Linked DNA regions of Saccharomyces cerevisiae S288C. The protein of the gene in region 2 interacts with the protein of the main gene of each other region in a pairwise test. Each region holds a gene or a part of one and is shown on either strand. Other genes may lie near its edges.

Region 1 (2,569 bases), on a different chromosome or scaffold from region 2:
CTAAAAAGATCTACGAGGATATGAACATCCTGCTTAATAGAAATCAAAGACAAATCTTCCAGGTTCTCAAATTCTTTAAAATCTTTCAGCATTTCTGTCTCGCGTTTTAACAAAGTGTCATTCCAAGAAATGATGGTAAGAATTTTCAATGTCCTCTTGTCAAAAACCTCCGATAGTTTAGTCAGAGGATTGCCGGGTCGTATCTTTTTAACAAAATAATCATTATTGTAAAACTCCCTCCTCCAATGCAATTTTAAATCGATGATTTGTAACTTGATATCTAAAGGGTAAAGATAATTGAACAGTTTTAAAGGGTCGATGAATAAAGTCATATGAGAAAGCCGAGAAGAGATACGCTGTGAAAGATATTTGGTGAGATTCGGAATGTAATTTTCGGGAACAACCATCTCAGGCAATGAATTTGGAGGAGCCATGTCGAAACTTGAGACGTTGCTCCTGGAAAAGTGACCATTGGAGATGATATCGTTACAAGCCGGGTCAGTGACGTTTTCTAGTCTTTGCAAGGACTTGCCCTGATTGCAAAGGATGCTGAGAATGGACCTTTGCAAGGTAGAGTCCAAATCCCAGTTGATCCTTATCCACTGGATGACTTCAGTAATGTGAATATTATTTTGCAGTGTTTCTATAAGTTTTTTCAATTTGCAGTTGGCGATATCGCGGGACTCCTCTTCTTTCAACGAAGACGGCAAGTTCAGTAGGGTCCAATTAATTGCGAGATGCATGAAGTCACTCTTCACTACATTTGAGTCGTTCAAATATATTCTTCTATAAAGCAGTTTGGTAGCGATCTTATTCAACCTTTTGTTCACAAGGCAAAGCTGCAAGCGGTCTGGTTGCGGCAAATGAGAGAATACTTCTTGCATGAGCTCATCGGGGAGCTTTGTTAGCGGGAACACGTAGTTTTTGCTCTTGGCGGCGAAATTTATGTTAATATCGTTAATATCTCGTAGCGCTGAAGCATCTGCGTTACTTTTATTGTTTCTGTTAATGAACGCTGCTTTTTTCTTCTGAAAATAATCTTGAAATGGCATGATATGAATATAAGCTGAGTTGTAAACACTGTGTATAGACGTCCTGGATATTTTGCACGGAAATCAGATCTCCATCGAAATCTACAATTCGCTTATAATCTATATATATTCCTCTTTGTGTGGGACGATAAAGTAGGGTAATACTTGCAATGAGAAAGAATACTCTGGTGAACAGGTGCATTTTGAGAGGGAAATAGGAACTAAGAAAAACAAGTAGAGGAAAAGGGGTGTAGTGCAGTGCAGTAAAGCGTTGCATTGATCGTATCTTGATAGATATACCGGTATATTACTGAACGTTTACATTCACCCTACAACATTTATAAATCTTATATATTATACATGCAAACTCGTATTTGTGAAGTGGGCATATAGTTTTTCGCTATGTATATAGCGGATGAGTGCGTTGGGATTACTATTTCTTTAATGCACGTGATGAAGGCTCGTTTTCTTTTTTTTTTTTTTTTTTTCTTTTTGGGAACGGGGGAAAAGGTCTCACTAGTATATAAAGGAAAGAGAGTACAGCACGAATGAGCCAGCTGCAGGAAAGGGGCTAGGTTAAAAAATAAAAACCCAGCAGAAAGCAAACAACCAAATATAATTTAGAAATGGACAGAGACCATATTAATGACCATGACCATCGAATGAGCTATTCCATCAACAAGGACGACTTGTTGTTAATGGTTTTGGCGGTTTTCATTCCCCCAGTGGCCGTCTGGAAGCGTAAGGGTATGTTCAACAGGGATACACTATTGAACTTACTTCTCTTCCTACTGTTATTCTTCCCAGCAATCATTCACGCTTGCTACGTTGTATATGAAACGAGTAGTGAACGTTCGTACGATCTTTCACGCAGACATGCGACTGCGCCCGCCGTAGACCGTGACCTGGAAGCTCACCCTGCAGAGGAATCTCAAGCACAGCCTCCAGCATATGATGAAGACGATGAGGCCGGTGCCGATGTGCCCTTGATGGACAACAAACAACAGCTCTCTTCCGGCCGTACTTAGTGATCGGAACGAGCTCTTTATCACCGTAGTTCTAAATAACACATAGAGTAAATTATTGCCTTTTTCTTCGTTCCTTTTGTTCTTCACGTCCTTTTTATGAAATACGTGCCGGTGTTCCGGGGTTGGATGCGGAATCGAAAGTGTTGAATGTGAAATATGCGGAGGCCAAGTATGCGCTTCGGCGGCTAAATGCGGCATGTGAAAAGTATTGTCTATTTTATCTTCATCCTTCTTTCCCAGAATATTGAACTTATTTAATTCACATGGAGCAGAGAAAGCGCACCTCTGCGTTGGCGGCAATGTTAATTTGAGACGTATATAAATTGGAGCTTTCGTCACCTTTTTTTGGCTTGTTCTGTTGTCGGGTTCCTAATGTTAGTTTTATCCTTGATTTATTCTGTTTCATTCCCTTTTTTTTCCAGTGAAAAAGAAGTAACAATGACAGAAGATAATATTGCTCCAATCACCTCCGTTAAAGTAGTTACCGACAAGTGCACGTACAAGGACAAC
Region 2 (2,523 bases):
TTGTCTGTACCTCAGGATGATTTGAACAAGTTCCACTTACGCTAACATGAGGATGAATATCGTACTTATACTATGTAAACTGGAATAGAAATATTCCGAACGGTTATCCATTAGAGTGTTAGCCCTCAAACCGAGACTCTCGATAATATTGAATAGAAGATTTTACCACTAAATTTAGTGTGTATTTATGTATCTTAATAACAAACTATCCAACGAAGACGCAAAAGATACTATCCGCCCCGTAATCCTTTTGAAACCACTCAAGCTTATGGTTCACGTTATAGAACACAGGAGACGCTTGCATTATTGGTGATTCTAATATAGCTTTCTATTCCTCTATGAAAGGCGTCTGTGTTGGTGTAAATAGAAGAGGTGCCTGGTCACCTGACGCCTTATTTTGTGCAGTTACGATGTTCGAGTAGATTCGCTATCGAATTTATGCTCAAAATCTAGCTAATCCTCTTATTAGATCTTGATATGTATATATGTATGAAATTATAAGTTCTAGCTCTAGTTTTCAGTATCTTATTTATTTTTCTTTTTTTACAGTGTTAGAGGCCCATTCCCTGCAAATTTTTCTCTTCATATGAACGTCAACAAAGCTTGGAGTAAATATGATCTCACCATTAGGGTTACTTCCTATCAAGTTATCCACGTTGGTGGCTTTATTTAATGCGATTTCTTTTAGATAGTTTCCTTGGGATATTATCTTCCCATCGTTACTCTCAATTGGTAAATATTGTAATTTCTCGAACGAAGTGAACACTGCAAGAACAAAGAGTATCAATCCTGCATACGTTTCATACATGATATCTTTAGGTAACTTGCTGATTGCACCTTGTGCATTATTAAGCGAGTTAAGTTTTAATAAGTGATGAAACTCATAGCTTGAGAAACCAGAATGAAATAACACCAATGCAGAGACTGTATAGAGAAGCTTGGAAACAAACGACATCTCTTGATAATTGCTTTTTTGTATCTCGGTAGGGCTTAATTACGATCGCTTTTTAGATGCTACAATTAACATGCATAACAACTATCTGAGTTGACTTTATTTTATATTCAAAAGTAGATTTTTCTGCGCTGCGTTTACATCGCGAGTTTTCGAAGAAGCAAAGGGCGCTTTGATGACGATTGAATGGGCTTGGAAAATACATAGCCGAATATCATCCAGCGAGTATAGTCTAATGCGAAGGGATATTTGAAGTATTTATGATTAATCAAAAACTGCTAACGAAGCTATGTATGTTCAAAAGAAAGATGTGATATATATTATAGATCTTATTGTTTTACAAAAGAGCAATAAGTCTGACGTATATCTTTTCCCTTAATCTTGTGTGATTTCGTCGCTGTTGTCTATAGCATCTACCACGGTTGGGTGTTCCTCAATTGGTGCTAACTCTGAATTATTTTGCGAACTTTCTTCAATAGGTTCTAGATCGATTGTCATGGGAATATCTGGATCATTATTTTCAGTATTTGCATGGTCGGTTTCTCGTTCACTGTTGGGTTGTAAAGGCGCTTTTTCCCTCTGTGTTTGATTTGATTTTGCTTTCTGTATGTTCTTTTTATTAGGTTCTGGATTTTCCATTATGGTATCATCTACGATTTTTTTGAACAGCGGGCCAAGCTTTTCTTTGTTTAGTGCCACACGGGAAGCAAATCGTTCATCTAAAATATTCAGTTTCATTAGTCCCTTCAATTTAACTGTGAATAAAAGGAATTCAGTTTCAATATTCTCGAAAAACCCGGTTTCCGGCAAATCATTTAGGTTGGCGTCTTCATCTGCTACCCTTTCTAATTGGACGTCAACTTGCTTAGCGAAAAGACTCTCCAAATATAAAAATATTTTCAAAAGCACTTTGGAAGCATTATCGTGAAGGTAAAATGGAAATTGTTCACTCATACTATATCTCCATGTTGTAGCGTCTGCAGGCAATTTGAGCTCAAATATTTTTATTGCAACGATTATATCCATTAATGAAGTGCAAGCTGACCATTTTAAGTAAAACAAGCTGTTTATGTTTTCAAATGTTTCGTTTGTAGCCGCCAATGAAATAACGAGTGTGTTTAGACGACCTATTATAGCGGCAATTGGTTTCCAAACTGATCTAAGATCTTTTGAAATAGAATTCTCGTAATCCCTTACTTTCTCTATTATTTCTCTCCATTTTTCCAGATTCCATGTGGCTAATAACACTAGCATTTTAAAGTTTATTTCTTGAGCGGTACTATCATCAAAATCTTGAAACATTATAGGGATACGGGAAACAAAATTGTTCAAAAACAGTTGCAACAACTCTTCATCAACCTCGATTGGGTAATCCCTGCCAAGAATTGTCAGTTTATTGATGTAGAGCTCGTACAAAGAACAAGTTAAATCTTTGTAGTCGTCCCTAGAATTATTTGGATCCATTTTTTCCTGTAGAAATTTTTTTAAATGAATTTTCAATGTAGCTATCTGGTTTAAAAATTTTTCCTGCAGTTCCTTTTTTTCAAAATGATGGATATGGTGAATGAATT
Region 3 (2,804 bases), on a different chromosome or scaffold from region 2:
TTTAAATCAAACTCATCTAATCTATGGCTTTTTTTTTCTTCACCAGGAAGAATATGCAATAGTCTTCCTTGAAAAATCTGTTTATCCAATTCAACATAGGCGTTCACTGCATTCTTAGAATCCTTAAATAGAACGTATGCAAATCCTTTGGATTGACCAGTCCTGGTATCCAAAGCCACATGAACCTCCTCTAACTCTCCAAATGGACTAAATAGTTTCCTGAAATCTTCTTCTTTGGAGGTATACAAGATATTACGTAAGAATAAACGGCCAGTTTGGTTAATTTTTTCAATAGCCAGTTCTTCGTCCGTCTTTTGCGGCACAGCACGTTCTGGTTGTTCTTCCTTCTTGGTATCGAGACTTTCATTTTGTTCAGTAGCGTATGATGATGATTTTTCCCTTGTTTCCGCTTCACTTTCTTTGATTCTTACACGGCGTTGTTTGAACCAATCTAGGTCAGAAACCTTTTCATCTTGGGCGAGGTTTCTCCTCTTTTCATTCTCTTTTTCATCACTATTAGCGTCATCATTAACTAAACCTATATCAGTATCCTTCAAATTGCTAATACTTATCATCTTTTCTTCCTCTCCGGCATCTTCTTGATCTTCATCCCTGTTTCTGTTGAGAGCCGAATATTCATCGTCACTTTCATTCTCAATGACCAAATTTGGTGCTTCGTCTTTATTATTCTCTTCCTTTAAGGCTAATGCATGAGCCAATAGAGAATTCCCTTGCACGCTGGAGTCCTCTTCTTCCCGTTTTAGTTTTTCGTCCTCTATGCTCTTGTCAATGCCAACTTTTTCCCATGATGTGACTTGTGAGCTTGGCTTCATAGTCTCCATGAACTCTTGTAATTGCTTGTTCTTGCGAATCTCGTCATCAATGTTGCTGTGCTTATTTTCATCCACTTTCTTTTTCTTTCGATTTTCTTCTTGTAGCAATTTTTCTTCCTTTTCCCTAAACCTTTTCAGAGCTTCTCTTCTCTTCTCCTTCATGGGCTGCGGGACTCTTGGGTCTGCAAAGCTTTTAGCCATGGACACTTCTATCTTAGAAGTGTTGATAAAACTGCCATTGAAATACTCTACAGCATCAAAAGCGTCTTCCTCGTTACGGTATCCGATAAATCCAAATCTTCTACTTTCTCCGTTCCTATCTCTAAGAATTTTAACATCTGTTATGAGGTCTGGACCACTACCATTAACTGCTTGATGGGAATGTTTTTGACGTAATCTTTTTGTAAAATGCTCCCTGAGATTATCATCTGTTAGATAGACGGGCAAACCCTTGACAATGATACGGGACATGTTAGTTATGTTATCTTGTGCTTGAGGCTCAAATTAAATCTCAGTTCAGGTTGCAGTCTTTGCATATGAAGTACCGATGAGATGAGATGAGATGAGCTCTAAATTTCCATAAAATTTTTTCATTTTATAAAATTCACGTCGCTCCGCACGTAAATCCCTATTACGGAAATTATTTCTCAATAGGGAAAGCCCCTCCTATTGTTTTTTCCGTCTCGAGGATTTTTCACTTTTAGTATATAAGTAAAACATAAAAAACATGAGAGGTGGTATGGTTTATTTGCCGTCACTGTGGAGCCTTCAAGTAATGTAAATAAGAGGGAAAGTGTGATAGTACAAGATGAGTTCGAATTCAACACCAGAAAAGGTTACTGCAGAACACGTTCTGTGGTATATTCCCAATAAGATCGGTTATGTTCGTGTTATCACCGCCGCCCTTTCTTTTTTCGTTATGAAGAATCATCCTACGGCCTTTACATGGTTGTATAGTACATCATGTCTACTGGATGCGCTAGACGGAACCATGGCAAGAAAGTACAATCAGGTTTCCAGTCTGGGTGCCGTTCTGGACATGGTTACCGACAGATCCAGTACCGCTGGCTTGATGTGTTTCCTTTGTGTGCAGTATCCCCAATGGTGCGTTTTCTTCCAATTAATGCTGGGCTTGGATATTACTAGTCACTACATGCATATGTATGCCAGTTTAAGTGCTGGTAAGACTTCTCATAAAAGTGTGGGCGAGGGTGAGTCCAGATTGTTACACCTGTACTACACGAGAAGAGACGTACTGTTCACTATCTGTGCGTTTAACGAACTATTTTATGCTGGATTGTACTTGCAGTTGTTCTCAAATTCTGCAACCTTTGGTAAATGGACTACAATCATAAGTTTCCCTGGTTACGTGTTCAAGCAGACCGCAAACGTTGTCCAGCTAAAAAGGGCAGCCTTGATTTTAGCAGACAACGATGCCAAGAATGCCAACGAGAAGAACAAGACTTACTGATAGGATGAGTTTCTTACTTTTTTTCTCCTTTTAATTGCGCTAATCTTTTATTTATGTGTAGTTTTTATTTATGTGAAATGGAACATTCGTTGATTTAACTTTAAAAGCAGCCTACTCTATCGTCTTGATTATACTTGGCACAACAAATGCTCAAATAAACGAAAAATTTCATATTGTTGGTACTTTTTCTCAACGCGGTTTTTTTCCTGTTTTTTTCGAGCAGTTCCCGAGGGCATATTTAACATAAGCCAAGGAGAGAGAAAAAACGTTTGTTGGACAGATCAAAAAGAAAAAGAAGAAGACCTCTCCTCTATCTCAAGCTTCTGCCCCCCCCCCCGGAAGGAATTCAAGCACGAAGGTGAACATTGCCTACAAGAAAAAATGGATGTTTTATTGTCGCTTCCTCAACCGGAATTATTTAAGACCACGGTGATTCCGTTCTTGGCAAATCGCAATATAATCAAGTCGGAAGCGATTCTCTCCAACTTGCACTCAATTTT
Region 4 (2,766 bases), on a different chromosome or scaffold from region 2:
TTTGTTTTTATTAATTGTGGGATAGGATAGTAGCAACTCTTGGAGGAGAGCATTGTCAGTTGTCCAGTCTCTGAAGTTAAGTAGTAAGTTTGCGGAGTCAAAGGGGGATGGCTTTTGCCATTTGTGAGAGTTGTGCGGCAGCATCTTATTCAAATAGAGCTGTATTCTGAAGACCTCTTGTAGAACATCATCCATACTAAAAAGTAAATCGTCCTGTCCCATTACGAGCTGTATTAGTGCTGTGACCCTCTGTATATTTACGTTGCCATGAAGAAGGTAATGGGCGATATTTTGATACAATTCCTGAGTTGCATGTTGGATTGAGTTTACGAAGGGTCGCCAGACGGCCAGAAACCTCCAGGCGGAGTTAACAACTAGTAATACGGCATCCATGTTTGCATCAGCGCCGAGCCTATACCAGTCACTGAGTAGACGTTTTCTTGCTCTTTTTATGTCCTGACTTCTTTTGACGAGGGGGCATTCTCTAGAGACACAGGCAGTTGCTTCCAGCAACTGCCGTACGGCCGTTCTCATGCTGTCGAGGATTTTTTTTGGGACGATATTGTCATTATAGGGCAGTGTGTGACTTATGAATTGTTGTAGAAGGACGTCTGTGATGTTGGAGATATGTATTTTGTTAACTCTTCTTGAGACGATTTGGCCCTGGATAGCGAAGCGTGCGGTTACAAATAGGTCGTCTTGTTCAAGAAGGTAGGCGAGGACATTATCTATCAGTACAAACATCTTAGTAGTGTCTGAGGAGAGGGTTGATTGTTTATGTATTTTTGCGAAATATATATATATATATTCTACACAGATATATACATATTTGTTTTTCGGGCTCATTCTTTCTTCTTTGCCAGAGGCTCACCGCTCAAGAGGTCCGCTAATTCTGGAGCGATTGTTATTGTTTTTTCTTTTCTTCTTCTATTCGAAACCCAGTTTTTGATTTGAATGCGAGATAAACTGGTATTCTTCATTAGATTCTCTAGGCCCTTGGTATCTAGATATGGGTTCTCGATGTTCTTTGCAAACCAACTTTCTAGTATTCGGACATTTTCTTTTGTAAACCGGTGTCCTCTGTAAGGTTTAGTACTTTTGTTTATCATATCTTGAGTTACCACATTAAATACCAACCCATCCGCCGATTTATTTTTCTGTGTAAGTTGATAATTACTTCTATCGTTTTCTATGCTGCGCATTTCTTTGAGTAATACAGTAATGGTAGTAGTGAGTTGAGATGTTGTTTGCAACAACTTCTTCTCCTCATCACTAATCTTACGGTTTTTGTTGGCCCTAGATAAGAATCCTAATATATCCCTTAATTCAACTTCTTCTTCTGTTGTTACACTCTCTGGTAACTTAGGTAAATTACAGCAAATAGAAAAGAGCTTTTTATTTATGTCTAGTATGCTGGATTTAAACTCATCTGTGATTTGTGGATTTAAAAGGTCTTTAATGGGTATTTTATTCATTTTTTCTTGCTTATCTTCCTTTTTTTCTTGCCCACTTCTAAGCTGATTTCAATCTCTCCTTTATATATATTTTTAAGTTCCAACATTTTATGTTTCAAAACATTAATGATGTCTGGGTTTTGTTTGGGATGCAATTTATTGCTTCCCAATGTAGAAAAGTACATCATATGAAACAACTTAAACTCTTAACTACTTCTTTTAACCTTCACTTTTTATGAAATGTATCAACCATATATAATAACTTAATAGACGACATTCACAATATGTTTACTTCGAAGCCTGCTTTCAAAATTAAGAACAAAGCATCCAAATCATACAGAAACACAGCGGTTTCAAAAAAGCTGAAAGAAAAACGTCTAGCTGAGCATGTGAGGCCAAGCTGCTTCAATATTATTCGACCACTCAAGAAAGATATCCAGATTCCTGTTCCTTCCTCTCGATTTTTAAATAAAATCCAAATTCACAGGATAGCGTCTGGAAGTCAAAATACTCAGTTTCGACAGTTCAATAAGACATCTATAAAATCTTCAAAGAAATATTTAAACTCATTTATGGCTTTTAGAGCATATTACTCACAGTTTGGCTCCGGTGTAAAACAAAATGTCTTGTCTTCTCTGCTCGCTGAAGAATGGCACGCGGACAAAATGCAGCACGGAATATGGGACTACTTCGCGCAACAGTATAATTTTATAAACCCTGGTTTTGGTTTTGTAGAGTGGTTGACGAATAATTATGCTGAAGTACGTGGTGACGGATATTGGGAAGATGTGTTTGTACATTTGGCCTTATAGAGTGTGGTCGTGGCGGAGGTTGTTTATCTTTCGAGTACTGAATGTTGTCAGTATAGCTATCCTATTTGAAACTCCCCATCGTCTTGCTCTTGTTCCCAATGTTTGTTTATACACTCATATGGCTATACCCTTATCTACTTGCCTCTTTTGTTTATGTCTATGTATTTGTATAAAATATGATATTACTCAGACTCAAGCAAACAATCAATTCTTAGCATCATTCTTTGTTCTTATCTTAACCATAAACGATCTTGATGTGACTTTTGTAATTTGAACGAATTGGCTATACGGGACGGATGACAAATGCACCATTACTCTAGGTTGTTGTTGGATCTTAACAAACCGTAAAGGTAAACTGCCCATGCGGTTCACATGACTTTTGACTTTCCTTTGTTTGCTAGTTACCTTCGGCTTCACAATTTGTTTTTCCACTTTTCTAACAGGTTTATCACCTTTCAAACTTATCTTTATCTTATTCGCCTTCTTGGGTGCCTCCACAG

What was found.
Region 1: the proteins of EMC5 (region 2) and SNA3 interact in binary tests that used the Saccharomyces cerevisiae proteins (3 or more experiments, as listed by UniProt).
Region 3: the proteins of EMC5 (region 2) and PIS1 interact in a protein complementation assay, tested with the Saccharomyces cerevisiae proteins (one large-scale study listed by BioGRID).
Region 4: the proteins of EMC5 (region 2) and MATALPHA1 interact in a protein complementation assay, tested with the Saccharomyces cerevisiae proteins (one large-scale study listed by BioGRID).

What each region holds. Positions count from the first base shown.
Region 1 is NC_001142.9:135,862-138,430, reverse strand, and holds SNA3 (Sna3p), read left to right. Parts: upstream 1-1,657; coding exon 1,658-2,059; downstream 2,060-2,569. Other genes in the region: SCF ubiquitin ligase complex subunit DAS1, read right to left, coding at 1-1,052; inositol-3-phosphate synthase INO1, read left to right, coding at 2,498-2,569.
Region 2 is NC_001141.2:303,150-305,672, forward strand, and holds EMC5 (Emc5p), read right to left. Parts: upstream 956-2,523; coding exon 530-955; downstream 1-529. Other genes in the region: cohesin subunit IRR1, read right to left, coding at 1,328-2,523. UniProt on the Saccharomyces cerevisiae protein: Part of the endoplasmic reticulum membrane protein complex (EMC) that enables the energy-independent insertion into endoplasmic reticulum membranes of newly synthesized membrane proteins.
Region 3 is NC_001148.4:750,616-753,419, forward strand, and holds PIS1 (CDP-diacylglycerol--inositol 3-phosphatidyltransferase), read left to right. Parts: upstream 1-1,641; coding exon 1,642-2,304; downstream 2,305-2,804. Other genes in the region: RNA-binding ribosome biosynthesis protein MRD1, read right to left, coding at 1-1,304; ALE2 (Ale2p), read left to right, coding at 2,686-2,804. UniProt on the Saccharomyces cerevisiae protein: Catalyzes the synthesis of phosphatidylinositol (PtdIns).
Region 4 is NC_001135.5:198,704-201,469, forward strand, and holds MATALPHA1 (transcriptional co-activator mating type protein alpha), read left to right. Parts: upstream 1-1,738; coding exon 1,739-2,266; downstream 2,267-2,766. Other genes in the region: Ras family guanine nucleotide exchange factor BUD5, read right to left, coding at 1-846; MATALPHA2 (homeodomain mating type protein alpha2), read right to left, coding at 843-1,475; YCR041W (uncharacterized protein), read left to right, coding at 2,208-2,540; transcription initiation factor TFIID subunit TAF2, read right to left, coding at 2,471-2,766. UniProt on the Saccharomyces cerevisiae protein: Mating type proteins are sequence specific DNA-binding proteins that act as master switches in yeast differentiation by controlling gene expression in a cell type-specific fashion.